Linked DNA regions of Ovis aries. Each later gene encodes a partner of the first gene's protein in a complex. Links are inferred from orthologs where the notes say so. Each region holds a gene or a part of one and is shown in the gene's direction. Other genes may lie near its edges.

Region 1 (6,277 bases):
CCGGCTGGTTGGAGGGGAGGGAGGTGGCAGGGATGGGCCAGGCACCTCCTGAGGCCTCTCGCAGCTTGTACCTCAGGCGGTGGGTGGGAGGGCAGAGCCTGAGTGCCAGCTGGGGCCTCCCTTCCAGAAGGCTGCCTCCTGCTGCTGCTGTACATGTACATCACATCGAGACCTGACTCAGCCGCCTCCGAGACACAGTGGCTGCAGCTGGAGCAAGAGGTGAAAGCACCAGAGCCCCTTTGTGGATGGCTTGCCACCCCACCCCACGCCACCCCACTGGAGGGGCACTTTTCCTCCTTAGGGGACCAAAGAGGCTTTCATTCACATCGGTGATGTGTTTAGAAACTAACAAGGAAGACTCGTTTTGGGGGGCCCCCTACTATACAGATATAATACACGTGGATCCAGGGTATCCTGGGACTTGGCAGGGTACCTAGAGGTGGGCCAGGAGGCAGGGGGTCATTGGTGAGACACAGGTCTTGATCCTGAGTGTCTCCTGGGAAGGCCCGGGATACCATTACCTCTTGGATCCCATCAGTGCAGACAGTTCAGTTCAGTTGCTCAGTCGTGTCCAACTCTTTGTGACCCCATGGACTGCAGCACGCCAGGCTTTCCTGTCCATCACCAATTCCGGGAGATTGCTCAAACTCATGTCCATTCAATCAGTGATGCCATCCAACCATCTCATCCTGTCGTCCCCTTCTCCTACCTCCAATCTTTCCCATCATCAGGGTCTTTGGAGTCAGCGCTTCGAATCAGGTGGCCAAAGTATTGAAGTTTCAGCTTTGGTATCAGTCCTTCCAGTGAATATTCAGGACTGATTTCCTTTAGGATGGACTGGTTTGATCTCCTTGCAGTCCAAGGGACTCTCCAGACAGGCAGTTGCTTAGGCAACGGGAGCTCTGCGAGAAGCCTGAGAAAGCCCTCACCGTGACCGGAACTGGGGTGGTGGTCTGGCGCGGATGTAACCGAGTCTGTTCTCATTCTAGGCTGTGTGGCTTCTGGCCAAGCTGGGTGTGCAGAGCCCCTCCTCCCCAGTCACTGGCTCCAGCTGCCAGTGCAACGTGGAGGTGAGTGCCGGGGGCGGAAGGGGGCTGGCAGCGGGCAGCCCTGCTGGTGGGTGACAGGGCTGTCTGAGAGCATCCTATGCTCCTTCACCAGGGCTGGACCCTGGTGCTGCCGCTCAGAACCCTCCTCACCCTGGGGGGAGGCTAGGACCGGGGCTGCCCCGCCGAGCGGGTGGTCTGGGTACAGAGGCCACATGCCCTGACCTCCGCCCACGCCCTCCCGCAGGTGGTCAGAGCACTCACGGTGGTGCTGCACAGACAGTGGCTGACGGTGCGGCGGGCAGGGGGCCCCCCGCAGACCGAGCGGCAGAGGCGGACGGTGCGGTGTCTGCGGGACACGGTGCTGCTGCTGCACGGCCTGTCCCAGAAGGACAAGCTCTTCACGGTGCACTGCGTGGAGGTCCTGCACCAGTACGACCAGGTCATGCCCGGGGTCAGCATGCTGATTCGAGGGCTTCCTGACGTGACCGACTGTGAAGGTGAGCCTGCAGTAGGCGCCCCCACCCCAGCACCCACGTGGGGTCGGCCCTGAAGTCCCCAGGCGAGTCAGACCCTCTGGCCTTAAGTCAGCGGCCCACCATCCACACAGCCTTTGCCAGCACCAGGCCACTCCTCCTTTTCCTGCTCTGGCTCCTCTCTCAGTGTATCAGCCTGCCTTTGGCTCGTATCTACTGAGTCAGCCAGGCAGAGCCACGGCTTTTCCAGAAACATCCCTGTCTGAATTGCCTTTCTGTCACTTTGCTTGCAGTAGCTGAGGGAGCGAGGCCTGGGCGTGGAAGGGACTGGTTAGTTCCTGTGGGCCTGGGGGGGCGGACGGAGTGGTGGGGCCACCCCCAGTCCCAGCACCTTTGGGCCTTCACCACAGAACCTTCTGGGTTTTGGCTCAGAGGCGGCCCTGGAGGATCTCTGTGCCGTGGAGACCGACGCGGACGAGCCCGAGATGGACTGTGGCTGAGGCCTGTGAGCACCGAGCCACACGGTGGCACCAGAGCCACTCCTGTCCTTCCCTCCTCCTCTGATTAAAAGCACTGACTGGCTGAGAGCACGCCAGCTTTCTGTTTCCTGAGTTTGCTCCGCATGGGCAGAGCGGGAGGGGCAGAGCAGAGCGGGAGGGGCAGAGCAGAGCGGGAGGGGCAGAGCAGAGCGGAGCCCCAGCCCCATGGGGATGAATCTGCCCTGGGGAAGGAGCCCTGCCCCTGTGGATTTGCCCTGAGTCATCCCTCTCTCCTGAGGCCACCGGAAGAAACCATTGTGCGCAGGGGTGGAGGCGGCCCTCAGCCCAGGCCTAAACCAGGGAGGCCTGGGAAAGTGAGGCGACGGACTGGGTGCAAAATGGCCATGGCAGGGCGGCTCCCGGCAGGCCGAGTCATGGAGCCAACCTCCCCCCATAGCCTGGTCCTCCCACCGTGAGCGTGTGAGGGCCCTGGTGCACCATGCTAGCCAGTGGGCCCACAGCCAGAGATCTGAGGCCTTTGGGGCAGCCCTGCGGGTGCCTGGGGAAGGACGGGTGCTATTAGGAGGGATGGCCCAGGCCAGCTGACAAGCGGGGCGGGCCGTGCTCACACCAGCCGTTGGGCGGGCTCAGGCCAAGTTTCACTTCCCGCCACTGCTGCTGCCGGCAGCAAGAACCAGCCAGAGAGTGTGTACCCTGAGTCATTGCTGCCTGCTGGCTCCTCGGTAAGTGAGAACCCCCAAGGGGATGAGGCAGGGTGGGAGGGCTGTGGGTACCCCAACACACACTAAGAGGGCCCCAGGGGAGGAGCTGAGCCTTCCCCTGGACAGCTGAGTGAGCAGGTCCCACTAAGGAAGCCACCCTACCTTCTCTGTCTTCCTGCCTGATAGTGGGTGCTGGAGCTCAGCAACAGGATCTAATGGGGCAGGGAAGGCCTGAGGTGCTCCCACTCCACCTGCCTTACCGCCCGTCAGCGAGCACTCACGTTCCCACCCCGACCCCTTGCTCCTCCCCAGGCTCAGCGGCAGACACCCACCATGGGCTCACGGGCCCTGCCCCCGGGGCCTGTGCAGACCCTCATCTTCCTGGATTTGGAGGCCACTGGCCTGCCCTTCTCCCAGCCCAAGATCACCGAGCTGTGCCTGCTGGCCATCCACAGATATGCCCTGGAGGGCCTTTCCACCCCTCAGGGGTCTCCACCAACGGCACCCCCGCCACCCCGGGTGCTAGACAAGCTCTCCCTGTGTGTGGCTCCAGGGAAGGCATGCAGCCCCGTGGCCAGCGAGATCACGGGCCTGAGCACTGCCGTGCTGGCTGCACATGGGCATCGGGTCTTTGACGCCGACCTGGTCAACCTGATCCGCGCCTTCCTACAGCGCCAGCCGCAGCCTTGGTGCCTTGTGGCCCACAATGGTGACCGCTACGACTTCCCCCTGCTCCGGGCCGAGCTGGCGCTGCTGGGCCTGGCCAGTGCTTTGGACGATGCCTTCTGTGTGGACAGCATCGCTGCTCTGAAGGCTCTGGAGCCGGCTGGCAGCTCCTCAGAGCATGGCCCAAGGAAGAGCTACAGCCTGGGCAGCATCTACACACGCCTATACGGGCAGGCCCCGCCAGACTCGCATACCGCCGAGGGGGACGTGCTCGCCCTGCTAAGCATCTGTCAGTGGAGGCCGCGGGCCCTGCTACGGTGGGTGGATGCTCATGCCAAGCCCTTCAGCACCGTCAAGCCAATGTACGTGGTCACAGCATCTACTGGAACCAACCCGAGGCCATCTGCTGTCACAGCCACTGTGCCCCTGGCCAGAGCCAATGACACCGGCCCCAAGCTTCGCGGAGACAGGAGCCCCAAGCCAGCCCCTCCCCCAGTGAAGTGCCCTGGAGCCCCACCCGGGGAGGGGCTGCTGGCCCCCCTGGGCCTTCTGGCCTTCCTGACTTTGGCGGTAGCCATGCTGTATGGGCTGTCCCTGGCCATGCCCGGGCAATAGGCCAGCAAGGGAAGTCTGACTAATAAAAAACCCCCACAGCACTGAGCGATCACTCACCTCTACCTGCTGTGGTGGCCTTACAGCTTCCTGCCCACGCTCAGAGACCTGGGGCCAGGGGCACAGAAAATGAGTCTTTACCCCTAATCCCAGCAGCCAGGGCTACAATGAAAGGAGGCAACAGCTCGAAATATCTGCATTTATTACAAACAAGGGTGCAGACCCAAGACTCCAAACACATTAAGAGGTCCCAACCTACGACATGGTAAGACACAGACAGAGGGGTGGGGAACACCGAGGTATGTGTCTAGGTCACAGGAGCCCCCTCAGGGTCCCCTCCACCTTTGGTCCAGACGACACCTTGACCCAGGTGTCCCCGCTGCCAGGACACACCTAGGCCCGGGGTCCAGCAGCCGGGTAGCCTGTGAGGCTGGTGATGGAGAAGCAGGAACTCAGAGTCCCTCTCCTCTCAGGGAAGTCTCCCTCTAGGACCCAACGGTTTCAGCCTCACAGCAACCATTACACACATTTTGAAACAGAAAACAGGTAAAATAGTTAGTGAACAGTAAAATAAAAACACTGCAGGGAGGACACCTGAGTGGACAAGTGGTCAGAGGCTGCCCTGTCCACCTGTGAAAGGGGCCAGGGCCAACCGGGGCAACCAGAACCATGGGTAAGTGTGGGCCTCCAGGTGGTCCCAGGAAGGGTGCGAGAAGGGTCCAGAAAGATAGTTTTCAGGAAGGGTGAGGCTCCGCCTGAGGCGTTCAGATAATCAGGCCACCCACCCTCCACGGGGCAAGGCCCCGGCTGTGGGAGCCACAGGAAAGATCGAGACCCACCTGCAGTCCTCAGCCTCACCCGCTCGCCCGCACTGTGGCTCTAGTGCTTCAAAGACGGCTAGCCATGCCACAGAAACCGGAAGACGGGTGCATCCTGCCCACACAAAAGCTGAGCTGTCCTAGTATGACAAGCATCCCTGCTCCAGCCCCAGGTCTCGCTGGGGTGGCTAGAAAAGAACCGTTCTGTGGGGTTCCAGGAAGCATAATCTCAAGTGAGGAGGGGAGCACAACGTGGTCCCGGCAACTCTGCCATGGGCTGCTTCATGCACCCCTCATCGCCATCACACACACCACGCCTGGGGAGAGAGGCCCGCACCCGCACACCCAGTCACACACGCAGGACAGATCAGCTGGTAGCCAGAGACACCAGGGAGTGCTCAAGAGACTATCTTCGGGGGCTCCATGTAGGCCGGATTATAAGGAGGCTGGCTGGCAGGGTAGGGCAGGGCTGCATCTCCTGAAAACAGAGAGGACACCAGTTAGCTGTGGCCGTGGCTGCAGAGGGTCAGGCATGGTGGAGTCGGCAGGCGTACTCACCTGCCATCGTCTCGTGGTAGGCGGGGGGGCCCATGGGCTGGGTTGGGTAGGGTGCTGTTGGCAGCCCCGGCTGGGGCACCACGGAGTGGTAGCCCTGGTACGTTGGTCCAGGGTAGCTGGGCGGTTGCAAGTAAGGGGTGTGGGTCACCGTGGTGGCCGTGGTGGTGGTCACAACCGCTGCAAAGAGAGCCCCGGTCAGGAGCGCCAGGCTGGCCACCCCGCCCTCCAGCTCAGGCCAGCCAGGGCCCTGGCGAGCCCACCACACCGCCCGGGTCTGTGCTGCCCCCGAGGGGTCACCGTGGGGCAGGGGGGGATGCTCACGTTGCGGGCGCCGGCACATCTTGTACAAACAGCAGCAGGAGCAGGTGCAGCAGATGATAACGGTGACCACGCCAATCACAAAGAGGGTCACCCCGATGGCGAGCACTGTGCCGAACCTGGCAGAAAGCCAGTCAGTGCTCCAGTGGCCGAGACCCCACACCTCCACTGCCGGCGCCATGGGTTCGATCCCCAGTCAGGGAACAAAGATCCCCCATGCCGCACACGGCCAAAAAAAAGAACCTAAATAAAGCCAGTCAAGATCCAGGGCCTCCCGCCCCCACCCAGGACCGGCAGTCCACACCACACCCACTCCCAGATGGCACCTCTCTAGCTGGAGGAGAATGGGCAACACAGATAAAGGCGCTTCGGGGGTGTGGAGCTGGACCCTGTTTCACCCTCAAGTGTCTCCTCAAGTATGGGGTTGACCTTGGCTGCCCCCGGGATGCCCCTTAGGAGCTTGGGAGACAGCTCTTCAGGTGTCCTCCCCCATACTCGTCTTGTCCGCCTCCACTGAGCCAGCAGCACACGCACACCCAGTACCCACCACCAGCCAGGCCTAGGGTGGCTTGAATCCAAATC
Region 2 (6,488 bases), on another chromosome or scaffold:
CAAAAGGTAAAGAAAAGCCTCTCACAATCCTGTAAGGAACAGACCAGTAGTCCAACAAAACTTTGTCCTTTGAGCACGTGAAAGTTGTTTCAGCTTTCATAAGTACACTATTGATATCAAAGCTTATTTTTCTTTAGGCCAACTAAATAGAGCTTTTTTACAAATTGATTTTGACAATACTCTCTGGAGATAGAAATATATATATATCACCTATATATATATCATATATCCATAGACATATGAAATACAGACAGACACAAAGAATCCATAGAAATATATATATATCACCTATATATATATATATATATATATATATATATATATGTGATATAAAAGAATCCATAGCTGTCTCTCCAAAACTTGAGCCATGAATCCGGTATCCACTCACATGGCTAAAGCCTTTTACTAATATTTGTAGAGAAGACTTTAAAAATTTGGGAATTTCCTGGCGGTACAGTGGTTAGGACCCCATGCTTCCATTGCAGGGGGCACGAGTTCAGTCTCTGGTTGGAGAAGTAAGATCACTCAAACCTCACAGCGTGGCCAACAAGGTTTTTTTTTGTACTTGTCTTTGATGGACACTGAAGACTAGATTTTGTGGGAGGGCGGTCCTATAGCAGACTGTGTTTTCACACCCCTCCCCACCCTCTTTCTTCAATCTGTGGGCAATGTTTTAATTATCTCCTGTGATATTTACATTTCAAACACATGGTAAGATTTACAATTTCAAGAGACAGAGAAAGAATGCAAGTTTTCTCTTAGAAGTTTTGGGGTGTATTTCTCTATTTCCATAAGTCTAGGGTAATTACTGATTAAAATTTTTCTTTGTATTAGAGGTTGGACAACGTCGAGTGCTTCATCTGTTTCACTGTCAATCACTACAACATCCTCCCCTTTGTGCTTCTCACTTTCCCGAGGATTCTGTCTCTTAGTGCGCTAATCAGGCTTTGTCACAGCACTTGGACGTTAATCTGCAGCAGCTTGTGCCCTCCTAGCTTTGCTACATAAAAGCTAAGGTCTCCAACTTATCAGCCTGCTCTTTTACCTTGTCTCCCAGCCCCAGAGCTGGCAGAGCAGTGGATACCTGCATGTTCTTCTCTGACTTCAGCACTTCTTCCAGCTAACTCAAGCTTCAGCCTCTGGTGCATCTGGGGCCAGTGGCTTGCCCGCTGTGGCAACCATTCATTTCTCTTCATTGTTGCCTGTGTAGTTTCTCTAACAAACATGTTAAAGTAGCCAGGGTTTCCGGGGCATCCCTGTTCTCCTGTAGTGGTCCACAAGCATCAGACATACAGGCCACCTTCCCCACATAGAGGTAGATATTCAGCTTGGAGTTCCTCTAGGGATGCTTCTTTCTCAAGGCCCATTTCTTCAGTGTCTTGGCTGGTTCCCCAATTATTAGTTCACAAATTGGCCCTGAGAGTAGAGGGCAAGGAGAGACCAAAGAGGCAGACCACTCTAGGTTGGAAGGTGGCAGTTTTAATAAGACAGGGAACATACACATGAGGCTTATCTTGGCTGATTGCATTGTACCCACCCAGCAGAATCTTAAATCATATAGAGGCCTTAACTGGGTTCAGTCACATGTTCTGTGCAGATGGTCTCAGTAACACCTTACCTCTCTCAAAGCTGCATCCTTGAATGGCTCCTGCTATGGGAACAGTGTACAGAGTGTATATTCCAAGGACAGGGGAGGGAGTGAGGAGCCTCTGATCGCCTGGGTCCAGATTGAGGGTGAACTGGCAGTCACATCCACTTGATATGACTTAACAGAAGCTTATTCAATCAAATGAATTATAACCCCGGCTTTTCGACCCTTCTCCACTCCGGGATATTAATTCATAGATGGGGGGACTGAGGTGGAATTAGGTTTTTACTAGAGAGTCCTGGAATTGATGTCACAGATTTAAAGCAGCTTTGTGGGATAATCTGCTTGAGAAGGATAATGAGGTAGGCAGGATATTCAGTGTTGCTTCATCCCTCCACCTGCCTATCCCCAGGACCATGGCCAGCAGCGAGCGCACCTTCATTGCCATCAAGCCCGATGGAGTCCAGCGAGGCCTCATGGGAGAAATAATCAAGCGTTTTGAACAAAAGGGATTCCGTCTTGTTGCCATGAAATTCATGCGGGTAAGTGGACTTCATTCTTGCTGTTTCTATTACTTCATAGAAATAGGGGAACACCGTAGGTCAGCCTCTCTCTCCCTTCAGATCATTTTAGATTTCTCCATTTAGAGTGAATAAATGTCCTGAAACTGTGGCCTCTCCACCGAGTCTTGGAATACAGCGAGTTATTCAGGACTTTCAGAAGTAGCCTCCCTTTTCTCTTGGCAGTGCAGAGTTCCACATATTACTGTAACACAGTGATTTCTGACACAAAGCCCTGGACCTGTTTGAGCTGCTGATCTTGAGCTTCCTGAGCAGATCATTTTAGAGACTCCCTGACCCTCACCTTTGCCCCCACCCCCCCACCATTTGAGGCAAATTGTTTTTCAGCAAGGAAGTCTTTTTATCATTGTTTACCACCTGCCTAGTGTCTAGCATGTATTAGACGCTATCTGGGCATATAGGGGAAAGCTGTGGCTGTGCCCTTGGGGAGGCCCACCTGAAACAGAGAGCAAATGCCCTTGCAAGATACCTGCAAAGCAATATTTCAAAAACTCCAAAGGATTGATTGGCCAAGAACCCTTCTTCAAACACACCTGGGAAATAACTTAAGTTCTCAAAGCAAATACATTAGGGGATCATCTTTTTTTCCCCCTATTAAGAGTCACCTTTAGTGAATGAATCAGAGAAAGAGAGTCAACTTTGGACTTTCCCAGTGCATTTTATCTTTTAGCTGCGCTGCATGGCTTGTGGGATCTTAGTTTCCTGACCAGGGACCGAACCTCAGCCCTGGCAGTAAAAGCATTGAATTCTAGCCACTGGGGCTGCCAGGAAATTCCCCATCTAGTGCATTTAAAATTTTGTTTGATTTGCACTATAGTTCCCATGTGATGTTTTAGAAAAAGTGTGTTAATATAAAAGGGAGCAGACTGCTGTTAATGCTGAGGGGATAGCATGATAGAATGATTAGAACCAGGGATTGGATTAGCAGTGCTTTCCAGAGAGTTTGTATATTGAATTAGGTTTTGAAGATAAAGGGAAATCAAAGTATTATTGATCAGATATTTACCATGTGTTGGGCACATGTGTTTTCTCACTAGCTCTCATGACAACCCAGAGAAGTATTTATTTCTATTCCCATGGTTGTTAATGATAAGGAAGCTAACTGGGGCTTGGAGAGTTTGAGTAACGTGTGGTTACCCAGTTGGTGACGTAGCTAGGATTTTCACGCAGGGCTCTCTGACCCTTAAGTGCATACATTTTGTCCTTTAGACTGTTTCCTATCAAGGGCCTGGACTTGGTGAAGAATGGGTTGGGGGATAGCTGCCATGAGCCTACAGGGTTATTTAAATCTGATGTGAAGGAAAACTTGAGTTCCCTCCCACCTGTCCCCGCCTCCCGCACCAACACACAAAAAAAGCCAGCGCCAATTAATAGAATTAAAAGAATGTTGGTAAGGGAAGGTCATCAGGAGACAATCACTGCAAGTCTCCCATATGGATTGAGGGATGGGTCAGGATGAATACTAACGGGGTGACGATGTGGCTGTGTAATTTTACTTTGGCAAGAGACGATCAATGGGGCTGAACGATAGCATGTTCAGGATGTGCTTTTTGGCAGCAAATCCCCACGTTTGTGTGTATCACTGAAGTGTGCAGCATTCTGTACGAAGCAGTACTACAGAACTGGGAAAACTAAGGGATCTCATTAGACCCTTAAGGAGCATGTAAGTGGTAGCAAAGAGGAAACACAGGTGAGTCGAGTTGGCATTGCTAAGCAGATGGTTTGCTCTCTATAACTAGTCTGATTTGTTCCCAGATACCAGCCTTGCAACGTGAAAGATTTATTCTTTAGTAAAGTGACTTATTGTTAGATGGCATGTGCTTTTGGGTGGTTTGCAATACCTGTGGAAATTGCATGGTCACTGCACTGGGCCTTTGCTATTTTTTAAATGTGATGAGAAATGCTCTGGTTCAGTTTGCTTTTCATCCAATGCTGAGACCACCTCCCTCTAACATTTTAGTTGAGAATTGTTTGGGAATGCAAATTCATCGTATTGTTAGTTTTCCTGTCTAAAATACCATGGCTGGATTCAGTTCTAGTGTTCTGTAATTTTATGCTGATCAATCAAGGACAATAGGGGAAAATTGGTAAAAGCTGGAGCACTTATAGTCCCTGTCACTTTTGGTAAGTTGAGTGAATTAGATTATAATAGAACAAGTGAGCTGAGAGCTCACGTTTTAAATAGCAGGATTGGTGAGTGGGAAATAACTAAATTGTGCTTAAATAGTTTGGGAATGAAATTTCTTTCTCTATCTTATGGGCTAGGCTTCTGAAGACCTTCTCAAGGAGCACTATATTGACCTGAAGGACCGTCCATTCTTTGCTGGCCTGGTGAAATACATGCACTCAGGGCCAGTGGTTGCCATGGTGAGTGTACATGTTTGGGATGTTGATACAGATGGCTCAGTTGGGAGCAAAGAGTGAATATTGTGATTCCTGCTCCTAATGCCAGGTCTTCACTGATGCGAGGATGCTGAGACTGGGGCATTGGACAATTAGGGTATGAGTTTTCTGACTCACCAAAGGCAAAATACATTTGCTTGGTGAGCTGAAGACTCATATCTGGGAGACATCAGGAGAGAGATGCCTGATTGTAAGCTCCTGGAGGGTAGAGAGATTGTGTCTTATTTATTGTAGTAATTCTTCTTTGAGCACGTATTGGTTGTCATCTTTGTGCCAGGCTCTTTTTTAGACACTTGGGGATATAATCATGAATGAGACAAAAATAGGTAACTGTTTTCATAGCTTTCCTTGCCTGTATATCCTGAAAAGGGAGGATGGGCAGATAATAAAGAAACCAAAAATCATACATAGCAGCTAATGATTAGTGATGCACAGAAATGAAATAAGATGACATAATAGGAAGTGGCCACATTAGATTGAGTGGTCAAGAAACATGATTTTCAAACTGAGATCTGCATGAGAAGGAGCCGGCTATGCACAAATATAGAGTGAAGAGCATTCTCAACCAAGAAAATAGCATGTGCAAAGAACCTGGGGTGGGGAACTTTTTGAAGTACAGAAGGACGTTTGGAATAGATGAAACCTGGTGGGTGAAAGGGAAGGTTGGGTGAGATTTATTCAGTGGCAGAGGCAGAGGCCAGATTATGTAGGGCTGTCTTGGCCCTGTACTTCATGACTGCTGGGAGGCTGTAGGAGTTTTTTACGCTTGGTATTTTAAAAAGTCCACTCTGGCTGCTGTGTCAAGAATAGATAGTAGAAAAGCAAGAAGAGTGCAGGAAGACCAGTATTCCCAGTGCTGAACACTTAGATGCCCCATAAATACTTGTTCGATGAATGAATGCCATTTTATGAGAGCCTTTTATTTTCTTTTTGAATTAATAGTTTTCAGATTTTCTGCTGAGATTGATTTTTTTCCTTAACCATATCTTCTTCTGTCCTTGGAGGTCTGGGAGGGACTGAATGTTGTGAAGACAGGTCGAGTGATGCTTGGGGAGACCAACCCTGCGGACTCCAAGCCAGGGACCATCCGTGGGGACTTTTGCATCCAAGTTGGCAGGTAGGGGTTGTTGCATTTTACTCTTATCTAAAATCCAAGTTAGGTACAGTAAGAATTTGGTTTTCTGCAGCTGAGGGTAGACATGATGCCATATACAGATCCATTTATAATCAGAGTGTATTGTTTCCCTCTTTCTTACTTTGGCTTTTCTTAGTTTGGCCTTGCAGGCCCTCTGCCTTTGGTCATCATCATCACTATGGTTGTGCCTCTGCTGGGAGAGTAGAACCTGGCCAGAGTCTTCCTGAAGGCTCCCACTGCTTGCATTAGTGTTCAGATGGGCTGAACATCAGAGGGCTGGCTGTGTGGAGGGAATTCTTTATCCTTACTTTGATGGCAATCATAGGTTTCTTCTTTTGACAAGGAATAATGTACATGGAGCTTTGTTTTTTTATCCTGCTCTTGTGGCTGTAGGCTTTCTGGCAATGGGAATGAGGGGAGCTTCTGGGCAGTTTAATCCTGGTTCTGGCCATCTCTTTCCCCATCCAGGAACATCATCCATGGCAGTGATTCCGTGGAGAGTGCAGAGAAGGAGATTGCCTTGTGGTTTCACCCTGAGGAACTGGTGAATTACAAGAGCTGTGCTCAGAACTGGATCTACGAGTGACTTGGAAGCAGACCACAATGCTCATCCCATGCTAGTTTCCCCCCCTCCCGCAGGCAAGGACCAGGCCATTTCAAACCTGGTTATTTCGGAGAACTTGCTTTTCATTTGGAGGGAAACTCTTGGAGCTGTGGGTGCTCCATGTACAGTGTTATATGCTATCATCAGATTAAAATGTTTCATCTCAAGGAAAGAGTC

The links.
Region 2: TREX1 (region 1) and nucleoside diphosphate kinase A 1 share a complex: the UniProt entries of both Homo sapiens proteins name them as parts of the SET complex. The link is inferred for Ovis aries from reciprocal best matches to the Homo sapiens genes TREX1 and NME1.

Annotation. Positions count from the first base shown.
Region 1 is NC_056072.1:51,424,645-51,430,921, reverse strand, and holds TREX1 (three-prime repair exonuclease 1), read left to right. Parts: upstream 1-2,655; 5' UTR 2,656-2,744; intron 2,745-3,035; 5' UTR 3,036-3,056; coding exon 3,057-4,004; 3' UTR 4,005-4,049; downstream 4,050-6,277. Other genes in the region: ATRIP (ATR-interacting protein), read left to right, coding at 128-219, 990-1,070, 1,294-1,546, 1,955-2,022; SHISA5 (protein shisa-5), read right to left, coding at 5,218-5,297, 5,378-5,554, 5,699-5,814. UniProt on the Homo sapiens protein: Major cellular 3'-to-5' DNA exonuclease which digests single-stranded DNA (ssDNA) and double-stranded DNA (dsDNA) with mismatched 3' termini. Prevents cell-intrinsic initiation of autoimmunity.
Region 2 is NC_056064.1:35,332,780-35,339,267, reverse strand, and holds the end of nucleoside diphosphate kinase A 1, read left to right. Parts: intron 1-2,000; 5' UTR 2,001-2,004; coding exon 2,005-2,130; intron 2,131-4,434; coding exon 4,435-4,536; intron 4,537-5,576; coding exon 5,577-5,689; intron 5,690-6,175; coding exon 6,176-6,293; 3' UTR 6,294-6,483; downstream 6,484-6,488. UniProt on the Homo sapiens protein: Major role in the synthesis of nucleoside triphosphates other than ATP. The ATP gamma phosphate is transferred to the NDP beta phosphate via a ping-pong mechanism, using a phosphorylated active-site intermediate.